4 linked regions of the Schizosaccharomyces pombe genome follow. Changing the gene in region 1 together with any one later gene gives a genetic interaction. Each region holds a gene or a part of one and is shown in the gene's direction. Other genes may lie near its edges. The genes, in order: klp5, dam1, dad1 and spc7.

The links.
Region 2: mutations in klp5 (region 1) and dam1 are lethal when combined (synthetic lethality), as found in Schizosaccharomyces pombe (2 studies listed by BioGRID, with this or other methods).
Region 3: mutations in klp5 (region 1) and dad1 are lethal when combined (synthetic lethality), as found in Schizosaccharomyces pombe (2 studies listed by BioGRID, with this or other methods).
Region 4: mutations in klp5 (region 1) and spc7 are lethal when combined (synthetic lethality), as found in Schizosaccharomyces pombe (2 studies listed by BioGRID, with this or other methods).

Annotation. Positions count from the first base shown.
Region 1 is NC_003423.3:1,708,581-1,714,049, reverse strand, and holds klp5 (kinesin-8 family plus-end directed microtubule motor Klp5), read left to right. Parts: upstream 1-1,932; 5' UTR 1,933-2,128; coding exon 2,129-2,159; exon of another isoform or gene 2,160-2,215; coding exon 2,216-4,836; 3' UTR 4,837-4,969; downstream 4,970-5,469. Other genes in the region: cay1 (cactin), read right to left, coding at 1-329, 376-468, 524-775, 822-947; IMP dehydrogenase Gua1, read right to left, coding at 5,169-5,469. UniProt on the Schizosaccharomyces pombe protein: Has a role in establishing metaphase during mitosis. Required for chromosome segregation where it generates tension during kinetochore capturing.
Region 2 is NC_003424.3:3,105,691-3,109,045, reverse strand, and holds dam1 (DASH complex subunit Dam1), read left to right. Parts: upstream 1-2,204; coding exon 2,205-2,672; 3' UTR 2,673-2,855; downstream 2,856-3,355. Other genes in the region: ubi5 (ubiquitin-40S ribosomal protein S31 fusion protein), read left to right, coding at 166-618; csr101 (sec14 family protein), read right to left, coding at 1,040-2,206; WD repeat-containing protein Atg1801, read left to right, coding at 3,138-3,175. UniProt on the Schizosaccharomyces pombe protein: Component of the DASH complex that connects microtubules with kinetochores and couples microtubule depolymerisation to chromosome movement; it is involved in retrieving kinetochores to the spindle poles before their re-orientation on the spindle in early mitosis and allows microtubule depolymerization to pull chromosomes apart and resist detachment during anaphase.
Region 3 is NC_003424.3:3,088,114-3,091,340, reverse strand, and holds dad1 (DASH complex subunit Dad1), read left to right. Parts: upstream 1-2,000; 5' UTR 2,001-2,015; coding exon 2,016-2,288; 3' UTR 2,289-2,557; downstream 2,558-3,227. Other genes in the region: taz1 (telomere length regulator), read left to right, coding at 1-104; Smc5-6 complex non-SMC SUMO ligase subunit Nse2, read left to right, coding at 644-808, 1,056-1,178, 1,294-1,758. UniProt on the Schizosaccharomyces pombe protein: Component of the DASH complex that connects microtubules with kinetochores and couples microtubule depolymerisation to chromosome movement; it is involved in retrieving kinetochores to the spindle poles before their re-orientation on the spindle in early mitosis and allows microtubule depolymerization to pull chromosomes apart and resist detachment during anaphase.
Region 4 is NC_003421.2:785,629-792,174, reverse strand, and holds spc7 (outer kinetochore KNL network protein, KNL-1 family member, blinkin, Spc7), read left to right. Parts: upstream 1-1,514; 5' UTR 1,515-1,560; coding exon 1,561-5,655; 3' UTR 5,656-5,886; downstream 5,887-6,546. Other genes in the region: mmt1 (mitochondrial iron ion transporter), read left to right, coding at 6,470-6,546. UniProt on the Schizosaccharomyces pombe protein: Acts as a component of the outer kinetochore KNL1 complex that serves as a docking point for spindle assembly checkpoint components and mediates microtubule-kinetochore interactions.

The DNA of each region.
Region 1 (5,469 bases):
GACAGTTTTTTGGCATCGGAAAAAGCTTTGTCCCATTCTTCATTATCAAGTTTATTTTTTCGAATTTGTAATTCTTCATTAAAAGTCTTTTTTAAATAAGCAATGGCCTTGTAAGATTTTAAAGAGTTTAGTAAATCAACCCAATAATCTGTATCGAGAGGGACATTGCTCTTCAATTTTTTTTGAATTTGTGCCTCAAGCTGTTCTAATTGTTCAAAAGATTTAGGGGCTAAAATCCTTTGTACTTCACCTGCTACGACCTTTAACCCTCTTGAAAATTGCCCAACTTTGTTATGTTCCATTCGAGAATTCACTAGCATTTTAACGTACTATAATGTATAATTTAGCACTTAAAGCATAAAAAATAATCCATACCTTCCAATAAGTTAGTCTACATTGGTTCGTTTCCAGCTGCTGAATATCACCAATATTTCTAGATATCTCCTCCAAATCTTCTGCTTTATAACTCTAAGTATGTTAATGATTAATCTGTTATAAAGTAAAAATAAAATAAGTCCCTTACTTGAATAACAGAGAGTGGATCAAACATGTCAACTGTTCCAAAATCAATTGAATTTTTTTCTCCATTCTCTTCCCATTCTGGGCCTGGCATCAAGTAAACGCTGACAAGAAGTTTATCTATAGGCTTAGAACGATCATTCTTAAGTCGAATAATAGCTCTTCGAAGCTGCTGTAAACGCAAAAATTCCCGTTCTTGCATTTCTTTCGTTTCCCTACTTCGCTCTTCCTCTTTCATAGCATCTCTCACTCTCGGCTAAAGGGAAGGTTAATTCAAAAACAACTAACATTTTCCTACTTACTAAATTATAATTTGCTCTTGCATTTTGATTTGAAGGTCGAAATGAACGAGGTGAAGAAGATCTCGAAGCATGCCTTTTTTCAGGTCTACTTCTGTTGAAATCGCGAGTTGAATCACGAAATGCCATAGTAATATATTTAAATTCAATGCCTTAAATACCAATATTGCTGTATGAAGGGTGCTTTCCAACAGAAGAGAATCCAATTGCTTTTTTTTTATTTGAAACAACTCAATGAGTAGGTTAAGTTTTTTTTTTTGAAATTTGAAACGTAGAGCTTTGTTATTTGATAAATGAACTTAAGGTAATCAATTACTTAGCAATAATAAGACTTATCCAACAATAGTAAAATTTATGGTTATGGCAAAGGTGAAATTTTATTGCATATTCGAATGCTTAGTAGGTAGTTCTAATTTGACGCTTGGTGGTTTGAAAGAAATTGAGCGGTAATGTTATAGCACGAAAAACCCCTAATTCATTATAGTTGCTATTGGTAAAAGTCTCAACGATATCGACTAAAAGGTGAAGTAAAACTCAGTATTTAGTACCTAACGAATATAGGAATACCCAATATAAAATATAGAATATAATTTTGTTTATAGCGCTCACTAGTCCTCTGCTTTCAAACTAATCAGATATTTAGGCCATCAGTTAATTGGCAATAAAGTAGCTAGTGCAGCAGTTGTGGTGTTTATAGAAGTGCTAGAAGAATATATACACTTATTTGATGTTCTATTGCAATTATAGGTGAAAATGATTTAAATTTGTCGGACGATTTATTAAAGTGTGATAAAAGTAAAGCAAAGCAAGAATCTTGCCAGGCATGTGTACATTATAAGTTACAAACCAAACGATAGCGATTCAGTTCAATCATCGAATTTAGTTGCCTTTTATAATAATAAAAATACTGTAAAAGCATCTATGATACTGAGATAGCATTATACACAACTAGTGAAAATGAAAAGGTAAAACAGTATTTCAACTCGATTTTAATCGTAACTACCTGTATTTGTGTTTATTGTCAAAATATGTAAATAATGTAATTGTTTACATCTTTTATTGCCATAACAACCATTCAAAACAAAGTGCGTTACTTGACTAAGAAATGTAACTTGGCAAATGCCAAACAGTCAACATTGAAGCGCACTCAAAAAACGCGTTTCTCGCTCTTTTCTACTGTTACATCTATTTTAATAGTGATCTTCGATATAAATTGCTTTTATTCAAGAAGGTTATTGGAATTGTTGTTTGCGAGTGCCCTTCTTTTCATCTGTTTTGGATGATTGCTTGCATGGAAATTTTGCTTTTCAATGTCAAGACAGTCGTCCATTACCGTTACAGGTTAGTCTTTAATGTGATGTTTTTTAAATTCATATCTTTTTGCTAACATAAAATAGTCCGTGTTCGCCCATTTAGTACAGCTGAATCTGCAAATTTAATTGCATCCTCAGATCGTTTATCATTTGGAACATCTTCTTCCTTAAGGAACCCTGGTTCAGGACGTCAAATTCGACGAGTAGTAAAGGTACTTGATGGACGTGTCTTGGTATTTGATCCCCCGGATGAAACAACGGCTACTTTGAGTGCCACAAACCGCAGACTTTCTACTTCTCAACAGAGTCTCGCTAGATTATCTAGAAAGTCAAACAATTCTGCGGGATTTGGCCGTGATCTTCGTTATGCTTTTGATAGGGTTTTTGATGAAACTGCTACTCAGCAACAGGTGTATGAGAGAACTGCCAGGCCGTTATTAGACAATATTTTGGATGGATTCAATGCTACTATCTTTGCATATGGAGCAACTGGATGTGGTAAAACTCACACCATTAGTGGAACAATGCAAGATCCTGGTTTAATATATTTGACACTAAAAGAACTTTTTGAGAGAATGGATCATTTAAGAGATGAAAAAATTTTTGACCTTCGCCTTTCCTATTTGGAAATTTATAATGAAACTATTCGTGATTTATTAGTATCACCGACCCCAAATCAAGCAAAGCCATTAAATTTACGGGAAGATGCAGACCGTCGCATTACTGTACCAGGTCTTACTTCTTTGTCTCCAGAATCTTTGGAAGAAATCATTGATATTATCATGAAGGGAAATGCTAATCGTACTATGTCTCCGACAGAAGCTAACGCTGCTTCATCTCGTTCGCATGCTGTATTGCAGGTTACGTTGATCCAAAAACCTCGTACAGCTGGCATCAATGAGGACCACACTTTGGCCACTTTATCAATTATTGACTTGGCTGGCTCAGAACGTGCAACAGCTACCAAATTAAGAGGTAGTCGTCTTTTTGAAGGTGCTAATATTAATAAATCTCTTTTAGCCCTAGGAAATTGTATCAATGCCCTTTGTGATCCCCATCGCCGTGCGCATGTCCCCTATCGTGATTCTAAACTTACTCGCTTACTTAAGTTTAGTTTAGGCGGAAATTGTCGGACAGTTATGATTGTTTGCGTATCTCCGTCTTCTGTTCATTACGAAGAAACTCACAATACTCTAAAATATGCTAATCGAGCAAAGAATATCAAAACCGAAGTGTTAAGGAACATGATCAGTGTAGATCGACATGTAAGCCAATATGTAAAAGCAATCGTTGAGTTACGTGAGCAAATTTCAGAGTTGGAGAATCGTCTCGCACAGATCGATTTGTCATCGCAATCAAATGGTTCTGATCAGGACGCTGTAACTCAATCTTTTGCTCATGAATCGAAGCTTGCAGAAGCCAGAAATTTATTGCGTATGACATTTGAGGAGACTTTACCACTGCAAAATGATACTATTAATAAGGTAGAAAAGGTGAAACATTTTGATGATTCAATTCGCGTACTTAAGTACTGGTTATCCTGCTATGAGCGAATACTTCCGAATTCCGCAGATGAACGAGTATTTTTAGTTCGTTCAAAGTTAGAATCATTGTTAACTCGTCGTGCAGAGATCATTGCTGATATAGATCCTGAACTTGTATACCAAAAGTTTCAGAGAAGTGTTTCTCACATTATCAACACATACAAACAAGAAGGTGCTACCATGTACGCTGATGTGTTACAGGATGAAGTTGACTTGCTAAAATCAATTATTGAGAATCAGGTTCTAGATGCTCAGAATAAAGTTGATGAGTTCACTCCTGTTTTAGAATCCCTTCTTAGAAGTTCTTTCAAAGCTAGTTCATTGCTAAAAGAGGGAGGTATGCAAGAGCTATTCTCGATACTGGAAAAGTGGTTGTTGGGCATTGGTCTTGGCGAGAAACCTAATATATCTGTCTTATCAGAAAGTTATAAGCTCAACTCAACATCCGATGATTCACGAACTATCAATCGTGATAGAGTTCATAGTTTTCCCACTCAACCCTTGCTTAATAATAACTTGCCTCGAATGTTTTTCGTGAAGTCTCCAAAAAAACCAGTTGTATTTTCAAAACGTTCTCCAAAAAAGAGGGTTCGTTTCGACGATTCAATGTCTACGTCTGACTCAGGTGCCTCCGCGTATAACTCACCCATTCAAACCTCTAAGTTAAAGAACATGAACTTCTTTAATACTATGCATATGCCTTCAACTCCTGCACATAAACGGCCTGAAAATAAGAATCAGATAGATGTTGAAATTAATCTTACTTCGCCTGTCTCCCCGATGTTGGAAGATAAACCAGAACCTGGACTTTTGATAAAAAGTCCTTTGGAGAAAAAGCAAGAAGTTAATAGTGAATCCACACAGCTTGATCAACTGCTGGCCGAGGACTCGTCAACTGACGATGTTTCTTTACCTCATCTGGACACTATTGATCTGGATGGTAGTCCAGTCCCAAAAGTTCCTGATTTGAATTTTTCCAGAGCCAATATGGACTCACCAACATTCATCCTCAACAATGAAGCTATTCACAACTTTGATTTTTCTAAACCGAAGACTCGACAAAGCCTCAGTTCATTGACTACTCTTCATCTTTCAAATCCAGCTAACATTATTAGGAAATCTTTAAGCATGGCTGAAAACGAAGAAGAGAAAGCCACCTAAAGGTCCGTATATTCAAATACGAATCCTCTAAATATCCTGTTGGGTATATTTAAAAAAAAAAAACGGATAAGCTTGATGATATGAATTTTTAATGAATTAATAACTTATTAGATTATATATTTATAAACCCTAAAATTCTCTTAGTAAACTTGCACAATTCGTTCGTAATGCACTATCAAATACAAGCGTACATATATGTCTGCCACCTCCAATGTACATAATTTTGTTTTTTTCTACCTAAGCAAAACACAATTGACTTGAAAAAAAAATAAGTACTATAAATGCAATTTATTAACTTTAATTAAATTTTTCCTAAATATCCTTATACACGACTAGTAAAGACGCTTTTCGTATGTAGCAAAACCTTGGATATCACCTTCACGGATGGCAGCGCTCGAACGTAACTCGAAGCGAACTTCATGCTTGTCGACAGCTTCATGAAGCTCATCAAGAGATTTGGTACCAATATCTTGAAGAGCGTGTTGCAAACCAGTGTAGAGATAAGGTAAAAAGCGAAGAAGCGAGCCCTTGTCGACGACCAAACCAGAGACACCTTGGGCAACACGGACAGCATCGTTTTCAGAGAAATAGCGGCCAGTAGAAGCATTCTTATTAACACCAGTACCTTCCATT
Region 2 (3,355 bases), on another chromosome or scaffold:
TTAACGAGTTGAAAATTTGACCGCTAAATTAGAATATTGAATTCTCGCTCGGCTTCTTATTCTTAAAATTTTAGAGTCATACCTTACCAAGTACAGCAGTAGTAAGCAGTCACAACTTAACAAAAGAAATATGAATTTCGAAAAACATTTCTAAGCACAACCAAAATGCAAATTTTCGTCAAAACCCTTACGGGTAAGACGATTACCCTTGAGGTGGAGTCCTCTGACACTATTGATAATGTCAAGAGCAAAATCCAAGACAAAGAAGGAATTCCTCCTGATCAACAACGTCTTATTTTCGCTGGTAAGCAGTTAGAAGATGGACGTACTTTGTCTGATTACAACATCCAAAAGGAGTCCACTCTTCACCTCGTTTTGCGTCTTCGTGGTGGTGGTAAGAAGCGTAAAAAGAAGACTTACACTACTCCCAAGAAGATCAAGCACAAGCACAAGAAGGTTGAGCTCGCCGTCCTCAAGTACTACAAGGTTGAGGATGATGGAAGCGTTAAGCGTCTTCGTCGTGAGTGTCCTAACTGTGGTGCATCCACCTTCATGGCCAACCACAAGGACCGCCTTTACTGTGGTAGATGCCACTTGACCCTCAAATTGGAAGCTTAAATGAGTTTGCGATAAAATAAATTAACACTTTTTTAAGTGATATTTTGTAATATATCTATATTGCTCATTGTAATGTGCTATATTGAATTGAAAATACTTATATTGTAAATGGTTATGAAAACATTTCATTTGTATTATATTTCTAGTAGTCCCATGATGATTTTTTTAAATAAATAATCTAAACATAAGCCAAACTAAACAAGCAAGCTACGGTTGAATGATTGGTGGAATTTTCAACAGTTTTTATATGCGCAAACGCGATTATTGAAAACGCCATTGAGGAATCATGAGTATTTCGAGGACATTAGATCTAAACTCAAGTTTTTAGTAAAAGGTAGTAAATATAGGAAGATGCATTCTTTTATTAATAAAAGAATAAAAAGAATTGAGTCGTAAAACATAGCGTTTAGATTGAGTAAATTTAAACATTACCAATCCATTTCAGTCGGTCGTAAACGGTTCTCGCTCGTATATATTTGTCAACATTCCAATAGCAGTTGGCAAAGTTGGTACCTGCAGCATCGCAGCATAAGCGGACTTTTTCATTTTGAGCATCATCATCATCTAGCTTGGCCCAATTTAAAGAGTGCTGCTCCCATTCACTGAAATACGCATAATAGCGAGCAAGTGCTGCAGTCTTTTCAGCGCTATCTTCGATGACTGCATCATTCTCATGCTCTACTGGCTCTATGTATTGGAATATCTTTTTGTTGCCTCCTCCTAAAGAAGTAGGAATTACCGAATAGTCTATGTATTTTTCGAGGTCGTTTGCGCTCTGAGTAAAAACAATTTTCGCAGCAATCTCTGGTTTAATCCATCCCTTAATAATGTTCCAAACACTTCTGAAAATCCAAGGAGATTTATGAAGAATACAAACACCAAGAGATTGTGGGTAATAATACTCCAAACACGATGCCAAATACTTAACGAAAGAATAATCCATATTATGTAGAGAAAAGTTACTAAGGTCGAACAGAACATTCACATTTTGAGGAGAGTCCATAGAGTCCTTCAAAGTCTTTTGTGGTCGCAGAAAAAGTCGCATAGTTTCCATTACCCACACGGTCATCTCACGAAGAGAATTCTGAGTCAATTTTGAGGGTTGATGTAAATGGACTTGAATATAGCAGATAGGGCGATCAGATAAGTCCCTTCCCAACATAGTTACCTTTCCAGTTCTCAATTGTTCCAAGAACTGATCATCATTTGTCTCTTTGGCATAAAGCTCACCCCGCTCAACGATACGCTCAACACCTGTATCTACGCGCCATTGTAGCGTATTGATTAACTTTTGACTTGCTTCATGTGAATCGTTATTGCAAGAAGCCAAAAATCGTACTAAGATAGCGTCGGGTGAGTCGCATTTTGCTAATCGTATGAACGATTCGCGATATTCTTTATGCTCTTGAAACCTAGGCCATGTCTTTTGAATCATCAACTTTAAAGGTGAATAACTTTCAAAGCTCACTTTTTCGTCTACAGTCTCAGGCTCAGGCTGTTTTTGAGAACGTCGGAAGAAAAATGTTCCTGCTGCTGCTGCCGAAAGCGCTGTAGAACATCTACATCTCACCCAAAGTCGCGAAAACATGGAGAAATACCAGAAAGCTACTCAAAATCCTTTAGAAAATGTTGATAATGTGAAAATAGAAAGTGAGAATGCAATCCCTTCGAATCTCCAAGCCTTTACTAAGTCACTGGCTGTTTTGGATGATAATGTGAGTGAATTTCGTAAACGAATGAATCACCTGTCAGCAACCAAACAAATACTCGACAATTTCAACGAATCGTTTTCTTCTTTTCTTTATGGATTGCAAATCAATGCTTTTTGCGTAGATTATGAAAATGCACCGCTTTCGGAAAGTTTTTTACTCCAAGCTAAGAAAGACCAATTTAAGGCAACGCTGATGACTCGTACTGGTCATTCGATTTCTGACCCTCCCTACGATGGTGGTGTTATTTCTCACGATCCCAATTTTGCAACTGCAGACGAAACATTTGCTACAAATGACACTTCTTTCATTGAACGGCCAGAAACCTATTCCGCTTCCAGATAAATTTATTTAAGCAAGGGAGACTGGTTGAAGTTTTTTCTTTTTCATTTATTATTATAATAGTCGAAGGGAATAACCTAGCATATCAGGTTGGATAATGAAACAACGGAATCATAATGATCATTCAATTTTACGATTTATATACAATTTTTAACATTTTAATGCACATTTTTCTTCAGCGAAGTGAACTGTAGACAATTGCTTTAAAAGTTCTAGAAAGCGTTCAGTAAACTCATATGTAATAGCTTCTCCAATCTTCAATTTCCAATAAAATGAATATGTATTTGTAGTCTATTTTCGATACTCACATTTACAACTTCAGTGGCTCTTTCAATACCTCAAATATGTAACACTAATTGAACCTATTTGAAGTGTCGAAATTTGTTCACATTCTATATTTGTAATTTTAAACATTGGAGCAATTACACTTGTTTTCAAGTATACAACTAGTTTTCGTTTTACTTCAAAATGCATTTCTTTGTTCGGAAGTACCGCGGCAAAGCAGCGTATGTAAGTGTATAGCCGCGGGTCATTCCACTTGTCTCAAGCCAGTCATTAGAACAATATACGTATCGGCCAATTGTGCTGAAAATGGTATCGAATATGTCTCGCTTACTATTTTGTGGATTTAACCAGGATTCAAAGTACTTATTTTATTGTTTTTGATATCAACATCACTAATACTT
Region 3 (3,227 bases), on another chromosome or scaffold:
AAAATGTTACTGTGGGCCAGGCCTATTGTGAACTTCATAAAATACCTTACATAGAGGCAACTCCGCCACTTTTACGGGAAGAGCTTGTTAATTATCAATCTTAATTTTTCGTCTCCGGATAGAGTTTGTTCATGATTGCTTTTTTAATGAATAATATTGACAAGACTCGGATAGTTTTGTTAATCGTGTTTTACTTTACTACTAATCTATGGAATATTTTGAAAATAACATAATTTAATTTATACATTTCACGGCCTTAATCATCCTTTATTGGTTTATCATATTGAATAGTTGGTTTAGTAATAGAGGTACTAAAAGTCAAGCGTTAATTGTCCGAAGTATGCATTATAAATTCTAATTCCAAATGAGAATATTTCATAACCCATTCATTTGTATTAAACGTGACAGTAAATAAGAATTTATTTAGTCTTTATACATATGCCATCAATCTTCATAAAAACGTACTGGAGTTTAAATTTTAAAACGTGGTTATTACCCTTGCTTAAAAAACATTCTTTTTTTATTTAAGGAAATAAGTGTTGTGGCATTTAGTTTTCATATGCAATTAATAGGTTTTCAATCCCAAATTGCGTTGTCTACTAATTAAACGTCGTAACTACTTCTTTCTCGAATGGAATCGTAAATGAGTGAAGCACAATTAAAAACTTCCTTGGAGGCTTTAAGTCAAAATTTATTACCTGGAAACCAAAATCATTGCAGTTTCGACTTCCAATTGAAGGAAATTGACGATTCAATTAAACAGGTGATAAAATGTGCTCTAGTTGCTGCTGAGATAAAAAATAATGAGGTATGTGTACCATTATTACGAAAGATAATGGAAAAAATTAATATGAATTGCTTTTAAAACTCGAAAGTGGTGTTATGTCGAGATACAGTTTTTTAAAAAGAAGTTCGCTGTACAAATATACATACAAAAACATTGTTTAACTAATATTTTTCTTCCTCTTATTTCCGGCTATTGAGAGAGAGCCTAAAATAGACATAATATGACATGCTGCTTACTTTATGACTTCTGACTAACACTTGCCTTTTAGTGTTTGGACATGCTTGATAGCGGGATCCGAGAGCTGTTGGATGCAAAGCAGAGATTGTTATTGATGCAGCAATCGGTGGATACATTGGCTAACAAAACCAGTGAAAATATAAGTGATTTTGAAGTACGTACCACGGAAATGACTTTCCTACTTTTTCTATTATATGTAGATGAAGTAAAAACATCAATTTAGACGTATTTTTTTACTGTTTCATATTCAATTGTTCTAACAAAATTAGAATAAAAGTTTGTTGGATATTTATACACAAATTTTTAAGGAACTCATTCAAGAATACGAAGAAAAATCCGACTATGGTAAATATGGCACACAAGGAGAATACATTGAATTTAAAAAAACCATATGGCATGAGCAAAATACAGACGGTTCTGACTTTCCTTCTATGAAAACATTTTTTAATGTCATGAACACTGAAGAACAGGAAGCAGATGAAGTGATGGTATATTCAGCTACCTTTGATAACAGATGCCCTTTAACTTTACAACCAATTGTTCACCCAATATTATCGACAGCCTGTAATCATTTTTATGAAAAAGATGCTATTTTGTCTCTGTTAAATCCAACTTGTGTATGCCCTGTTGTAGGATGTGAAGCTCGTTTACAAAGGTCTTTACTTAAGGAAGATGAGATTCTTGAACGCAGATTACGCCGCGCTCAGGAAATAAGTAATTTAAAAGAAGCTTAGTCCTTTTCTATTTACATTGTAGTACTGATCCGGATTTATTATTATTATTATTATTATTATATTTAATGTATTTGTTTATTCCAACTTGTAAATATGCATAACATGTCTCTTTTGACTAATATTCTATGCTCGTACGGAAGCTTCAATTTTGGCATTTAATTATGAAGATAGTTAAATCTAATATAAGATCTACTTGATTGTAACCTTATGATAAACTTTGGCTCATGCTTGACTTTGACACTAGCCATTAACATACCATGTCCTCAGAAAATATGGATATTACTGAAAACATACAAAATGAGCAAAATAAAGATTTTGATGATATAGATTTTGAAAGAAGGCGTCGTCTTTTGACCTTACAAATTTCAAAAAGTATGAATGAAGTTGTGAATCTTATGTCAGCTCTAAATAAAAATCTTGAAAGCATTAACGGTGTTGGAAAGGAATTTGAAAATGTCGCGTCTCTTTGGAAGGAGTTTCAAAATTCAGTGTTACAGAAGAAAGATCGTGAAATGCTAGATGCACCTTGATGGTCGTTCTTTTCTAAATGTATTTTCATTGCCGCTAAACATATGCCTTAACGCAGTTTGTTTCAAAGAATTTGCATATTAAATTAAATTATTAGTTATTATATGTTTTTTATGAATCTATAAATTTAATAGCGTCCTCAAAAATTGGTCAAAGGTCAGGATTCTTTTAAATTAACTTACATATTACAATACACAAACCTTAAGTCACTTCATTAATAATGTGTTTGTATATATATATTAGTTTTTAATCTTCCTATATTCTTCTAAAAGCTGCCAATTTTTAAATAAGCCGTTCATCGTCTGAGAGGCAGAACAACTGTTGATGTTAATATTTGCATAGTAAACTTTTTCTTTACTACTATACGAATCCTTTTAGAAATTACCATTTTAATGGTATTATTTAAATTATAAAAGGGGTTTAATGCAGTTTAGCATAATAAAAAGGTAAAAGGAATCATAAGTATTCATTTCAATATCTTCTATATAACTATCGTTTTATTCACGACATGAATACCCTGAACCAGTCAGGGTTAAAAAACCGATTTTCAAAGTTTCGGACAAATATAGGCATATTTGAAGTAAAAGTAAAAAAAAACATTAAGACCAATTGATTTTTGCTGACATATATTCAGAATCAAACAGATAACGTCTTAATAAACAAATTATAAATCACAAAATAGCTCCAATAGTCGATAATCCATCTAAACCATATTGGCTAGTTAAATACCTGAAAAGATAAAAAGTTGAGATAGGAGCAAAATTCTGAAAAGGAAACTGCTACACAATATGCTTAGATTAAAAGAAAGCATACAAGCATAATGTCTCTATTGCAGCAAACGTTTGGAGTATTGGTTTATATGCAATTAGCAATGTTAGAATGCGTAAATAAAGCGTTTTTCTTGCTTCTTATGTTCCAACAATCTCATCAAATGCTATACA
Region 4 (6,546 bases), on another chromosome or scaffold:
TGAAACTGGATAACATTACGATACCGGAGATTTGTGACCATTTATATCGTAACATTGACTAAATCCAAATGGGAGAATGATATTGGGCTAACCAAGTCTGCTCGTATTTGAAGGCTTATACCAAATGCAACGAATAGAATATCATACCATACTACGGGATACACGGGATTTACAAATATCCAATTGTAAGAATTGTCAATTTCCCGGATTTAAAAAAAAAAAAAGAATGTTAGTATTGATGACAAAAGCCTTACTTGTTTGAAATACTGAACAATTATCATTCGTTTATACAACGCTATCCTTCCTGTGCCGAATATAAACATTTTACGTCCTTTTGTATTTCCATTCTTCAAAGAAATCCTAATCGTGGTATATGATTTATCATTCTAATAAAAAATATTAAGACAAGCGAGCTCAGCCATACTTGTTTTTTTTTTACTCATTTAAATGTTGTACAAATGCTAGTTATGTTACTAAGCTTTACTGTGATTTGAAAGCATTAGTGTTGTTAATAACACATATGGATTATAGTACATAATATATCAATTTCAGGTCTTAGCAACGCAATCGTAATCTGACTTAAAAGGATTTATAATTTCTATTTGTGATCAATATATCATCGTAAAAGGAAAAGTACACGAATTAATGTCTGGTCAATTTCACTATGGCTAAGTATAACCATGGAAATGAACAGGAAATAGTTCAGAATGAGCTAGCTTATATTTGCTTAGCCGGTAACCTTTTATAACCACTTTTGAATAGTAAACAATGATGGAACAGGTTACGAGAACCTCAATGGAAAGTAGAACATAGAATTACATGTGGTTGTAAGTTCATGGCAATATCCATCAAATTATAGAAATACTAACAATAAACAGTTTTTTTCTCGATTATTGATTATAAGCCGCTGGAATGATATTAAATAAACACACTCCTTTAAAGGAATATTCACGAGTATTATTATAATATACAATTTGCGAAATAATAATTTATAACAACCTCGCTACAATTTACTTATACTTCTTACAACCGCACATTGCTTTCAAGTTAATCCATTAAATTATGCCAAAAGAACAGTGCGGCTCATTTGACAAAACATTCAAGTGAATCTTAGATATCTATACCTTTTTGAAGTTTGTATTCCTCCATCACAGTGCGCATATGCTTGTGATGCTCATTACCTTATTGTTTACAGAAAACCCAATATTACAAATAGACCCAGTTGAACAAAAGTACCCCCAATTTACCTTTACTTTATACAATTTGTTAATGATAAGAATGAACAACAGTCATATTGTTCATTGGAACTTTTACAAATAGGATCTTTATTCATTATTTATTCAGATTAGCTAACAGGAATGATTACAGAAAGCATCATCGTAGTCTACCGTATCCTAAAAAGGCTTACAGACTCCTTAAATAATACAACGAAAGGCGTTCTAGGCCGCAAAAAGAAACTCACCGCCATAAATTTAACGAACTATCATTACAATTTCTTATGTTCGTCTTAATCTAAAAACAACAAAGTTCGTGTGTCGACGTGCTTTGTTTAACTTGACGATGCCAACATCGCCTCGTCGCAATAGTATAGCGACGACCGATAATGTTATAGGAAGAAACAAAAGTAGGAAGCGTCCACACTCGCTTGGAGGACCTGGTGCGCTTCAAGAACTTAAAGAACACACAAATCCAGCAAAAGGCATTCTAAAGAGTTATTCATCCTTTTCCGTAGATCCCGCTTTCACAGGAGATGAAGACTTTAATGATATACACACACAAATAAATAACACGGTCATTGGAATCTCTAGTAATGTTATGGCTGCGTCAAAGAGACTTCAAATGGAAGACCTACAGCAATTGTCGCGTGAGACGTCTAGAAAAAGTTTGAACAGAAGAGTTTCCTTTGCTAGTCATGCACGTGTACGTTGGTATCCTAAAGATCACCAGAGTGACTCGGAAAAGTCGACATCTAATCACAGCACACCTGAGCGAACTTTTGCATCTGATGCTAAAAACCATTCCCCTAAAGGTCCAACAACGACAAGTTTTTCGAGAAACGAAACACAATCATCTCCCCATAGTCATAGTGCCTCGATTATTTCAGACGGTAGTGATATGGACATTGCGTCCCCTATTCGGTCAACCGAATCAGATATGGTCTCTGAGGCATTGAATGCTGGCCATCCGCCTCCTTCTCTGTATCCGGAGAATGATGATTTAAGTATCCAGAATCCAACAAAAGCCTTACCTGAAGCAGAAAAGGCACTTGATGTTCACGATGCCACGAGAGAGCAGGTTAATGATAGAGAGGAAACTAACATGGATTTGACTATCCAATTCCAAGAAGCAGATTCGTTTTTATCACATTCCGAATCAATTAAAGGTCTTAGCTCTAGCGAGCAAGGTACTGTTTATAGTTTAAAAGCTTCTCATGACCCTTCAAACCAAACTCAACTTTCATCCCCTAACAAATCATCTAGTCCAACTAGTATTGAAATTTCGGATTTCTCCAAAAATAACGAAAATCACGATCAGTCGGAAAATAAAGAAGAAGAAGAAGATATGATGCTAACTCGACCTATTGAAATTCCGCAACACTTTTCCCCCATCGCTCGCCCTTTAACTTCCCAAGAAGCTATTGTTGACATGGATATTACCTCTAATAACATTAATTTATCTCCAGTGTCTCATTTTTCCAATGGCTTAGATTTACAAAACTTAGAAGAAGCGCCTATGAACCTTACCCGACCAATTAATGCTAATCCTCACTTAACTAATCATTCTCCGAACGATTTAACTAATGGAGAAGAAGAAATGGATACCACCTCCGCCTTTAATATCGAAAACTCACATTTAACTCTCCTTTCCCCCATTCGTCCATCGTCACGATCCATGGAAGAGCAAATAATGGACTTGACACAACCCATTAGCTCTACAAATGCACCCACCCATTTGAATGAAGATGATTTAAATCAATTTACCTCAAATATATCCTCTTCTTCAAAACCGAGAAAGGATAATAACAAGACTGCCAATTCTTCAAAGCCCATTCCCGACAGTGAGGACTTTATGGACATTACTAGACCTTTCAATATATTATCCCCTTCTAAAGAAGCACTTTCCGAAGAGCAACCAATGGAATTAACCTCAACAGTTTTTCCTTGTGAGAATTCTACATCTCATCTTGAGGTGGAAGAAGCTGCTATGGACGAAACAGTGGCTTTTCAAATCCGTGGAAACAATGTTGAGTTACCTTCAGCAGACAAGGAAAATGCCGAGAGAGAAGAAATACCCTCATATAGTGATAAGTCAGAAAATTTCAATACTACCTCCTTTACCAACCATGAACGGTCACCAAATGGGAACAATAATCTAAAATTTTCGAAAGATCCTAACTCTTCTTCTCCAAGTAGACATGTGGTAGCGACTCCTACTGATAAGCTTGGTACTCGGAAAAGACGCTTAAGATATAGCACTTCAAGTTTTGATCAAAGTACCTTGCGTCGCAATCGTCTTGCAACAATCCGTAATGCTCGAAAATCAATTTCAACTTTGAATGACAGAGAACTTCTACCGGTTAACTTTTTCGAAAAAAAAGTAAATTCTGGTCTCTATAAATCGGTTGAGCGATCCGAAAATTATCGTCTAGGAGCTACTCCACTTACCGCAGAGAAGCCATTCACCACAGAAAAGCCGCTTTCAAGTCTTCCTGAAGAAGTTTCAAGGCAACCCACTGATGACAAAGGCGAACAAGTGTCTAATGCAGATGTTGATTCTGGATTGAGTAAAACAGAGCGACTAACAATTCAACAGACTAACGAAATTAAGCACGTTCCAACTAATACGACTTCTTCTGTTAAGCTTCCTCAACAACCTTCGAATGAGGATGAAAAAGAGCGTATAACAACTGCAGATTACGCCGATTCAACTAGTTTGGAGCGATTGGAATCTCAGGAACCCAACCGGAATGAACTTGTTCAAGTTGGTTCGTCAAATGCAGGTAATACAACTTCCGTGGGCATGAATGAACATGAGAAGTCACCCGTCAAATTATCAAAAGGTGTGAGCAATGTTGATACATCGTTGGGCGCTTCGACTATTAACACGAACATTTTGAATCAAGACTCTGGTCCAAATGAAGAAATACCTGTTGGTAATGAGCCAGAATTTGATACGATGCCAACTCTACCAAACGTCGAGCCGATAAGCCTATCAGATTTTCTTAAAATGACCGGAATTGAATTTTTGGATAATCTTACTATTGCTAAAAGACGAGAAACCCTATTGCCAAATGCTGAAGAAAATAAGAAATGCAGTATCCAAGAACTTTTGGAATCTTTTTACATACAATTCCCTTTGTTAGAGTTATACAAATTTAGTTGTCAGCAATTACAGGATTATATTGCCGAAGGGAAGGATTTTGTTACTAAAATTGAAGAGGAAACTTTGAAAGAGAACCCGTTACTATTCTATGAGTATAGGAAAGCATCCAGTGATATGAGGGTTTTAATGGATTCACAATTTTTAATGATGAAAACTTTTGCTAGACTTCAAGCAAAAGGTGATTGGTACGAATGGCGTGAGGGTTTGATGCAAGGAATCAAACATGAATTAAATTTAAATTTAACTGGGATGCAAAGAAGCTTGACCCATTTAATGGATGTCGCGAATGTTATTCATCCGTATGCGCAGGAAATTCAAGAGAGATACAATGGTAGTATTACTACAGTACAGACATTAAAGAAGCAGAAGGAATTTGCAAATCAGTATGACTCAACTCTTCTAGCGCAGGCGCAAGAAAAGTTAGAGAAACTCAAGGTTGAGGTTGAGAGGAGACGTCGGCTTCTGAGTGAAAAAGAAGAAAGAAGAAAGGAGTTGGCAATAAAGATAGAACAAGTGACAAACTCTTGCTCTGATTTGGAATTACGTACCAACGCTGAACAAGATTTTTATGCGAAAAACCAAGATTTTGAATTTGACGAAATTAAGCGATACGAGGAGCAGTTGTTAAATCTTAAAAATGAACTTGGCTGGACCATAGTTTCTTTGACCGCGGGCGGAATTAAATTAGCTACAAATAACACTGCTCTTTCTCCTTATTCAGCCGAGGTTACGGTTGAGATTTTGAGGCAAAATTTCCAAGTTAACGTTGATATTGCCTGTAAGTTCCCTAACGAAAGTAATGCTTGCAGCTCAAATGTGCTCGAGCATGTTGCATCGTCGTTTTCTAAATGGCATTCCAAGGTATTTTCTAGGAACTTACGTCTTCTGAAGAAGTATCTTAACGATGTTTCAATTTGTTGGGAACAAATTGTTTATCTTGTCCAAGATTTCCAGCGATTATGGTACCATTGGCCCTTTTTGTCAGTTGAAAATGATGATAAGTCTATTATCATAAATGTTGAGCTATACCTGCGTTCGGTATCATCTAAGGTAAAGGTTGTTTTCGGTCTCCCAATTGATACTATCTACCAAACTACTGAAGTAGGAAAGTTTTATGCTTCTACATCAGTCGCTGTGAAACAGATGTATGCGGAAAGTGAAGGAGACTCTTATGTTAGTGAGGTTTTGAATACTCTTTCGGAAGTGGTGCATTGTACATCAACTTATGCCCTTTCGTCTGCTTGTCTTACTGTTTGGAACAAATACAGCTAGATATTAATGGGAATGATTAGCTATGCTGCGCCGAAGCGACTTCCTTTCCCAATATTCATTTTGTGCTTAACGCTTGGAAATATCATTTATCCTTGTTGTATACTAGTTCATTCGTTTTCGTTAATTCACATGTTACTAAAGAAAATGTATATATTTTATGCTATTTAATATTGGTGAAATAATAATGGTAGATCTTGACTGATAATGAAATTATAAATCTTTTTGTTAAACCCGTAATGCGCTACAAAATAAAGTGTTTAGTTAATATATAAATAAACTATCCATAATTAAAAGATTCTCGGATGTGCAAATCTGGTGTAGTAAAGTTTCACATTGATCTGATAAGTACGGGATCGACATCTTACGTTCTCCTAGATACATATATACACAATCGATAGAAGAGACCGATCCTAAACAAAACAAAGATCTTAACTAATTTAAGAGAATTGGACGGATATTTAGATTTTTATAATTGAAAGTCAGACGCTGCTTACAAAATTATGAGTTTGCAAGCTCAAATTTTGCAGAATTGAAATAGGAGGTTTTTTAGATTTTTAGGCTTCGCTCGGATTATTAAGTTATCCATTTTTTATTTTTGAACACAGTTTAATTAAGTAAGTCAAAGTTCCTGAACCTCGTCTGCAATTTCTGATAAAAATATTAATACACTTAAAAATAGATTGCATCCGCAATCGAAAGTTCACAGACAGCCGGTTGAGCCCTAATTTCCAGGTTTTCTACATATTTACTTCTTTAGAAGTTTTGTTTTATATATAGATATCCCTTTTCTTGAATTAACAGTACAAAACTCACTATGCTGAAAACGTTCAATTCGTCAGCGCGCTCATGTCGAGCGATGCCGCGTTTTCTACCGACATTGTGCAGCAGATT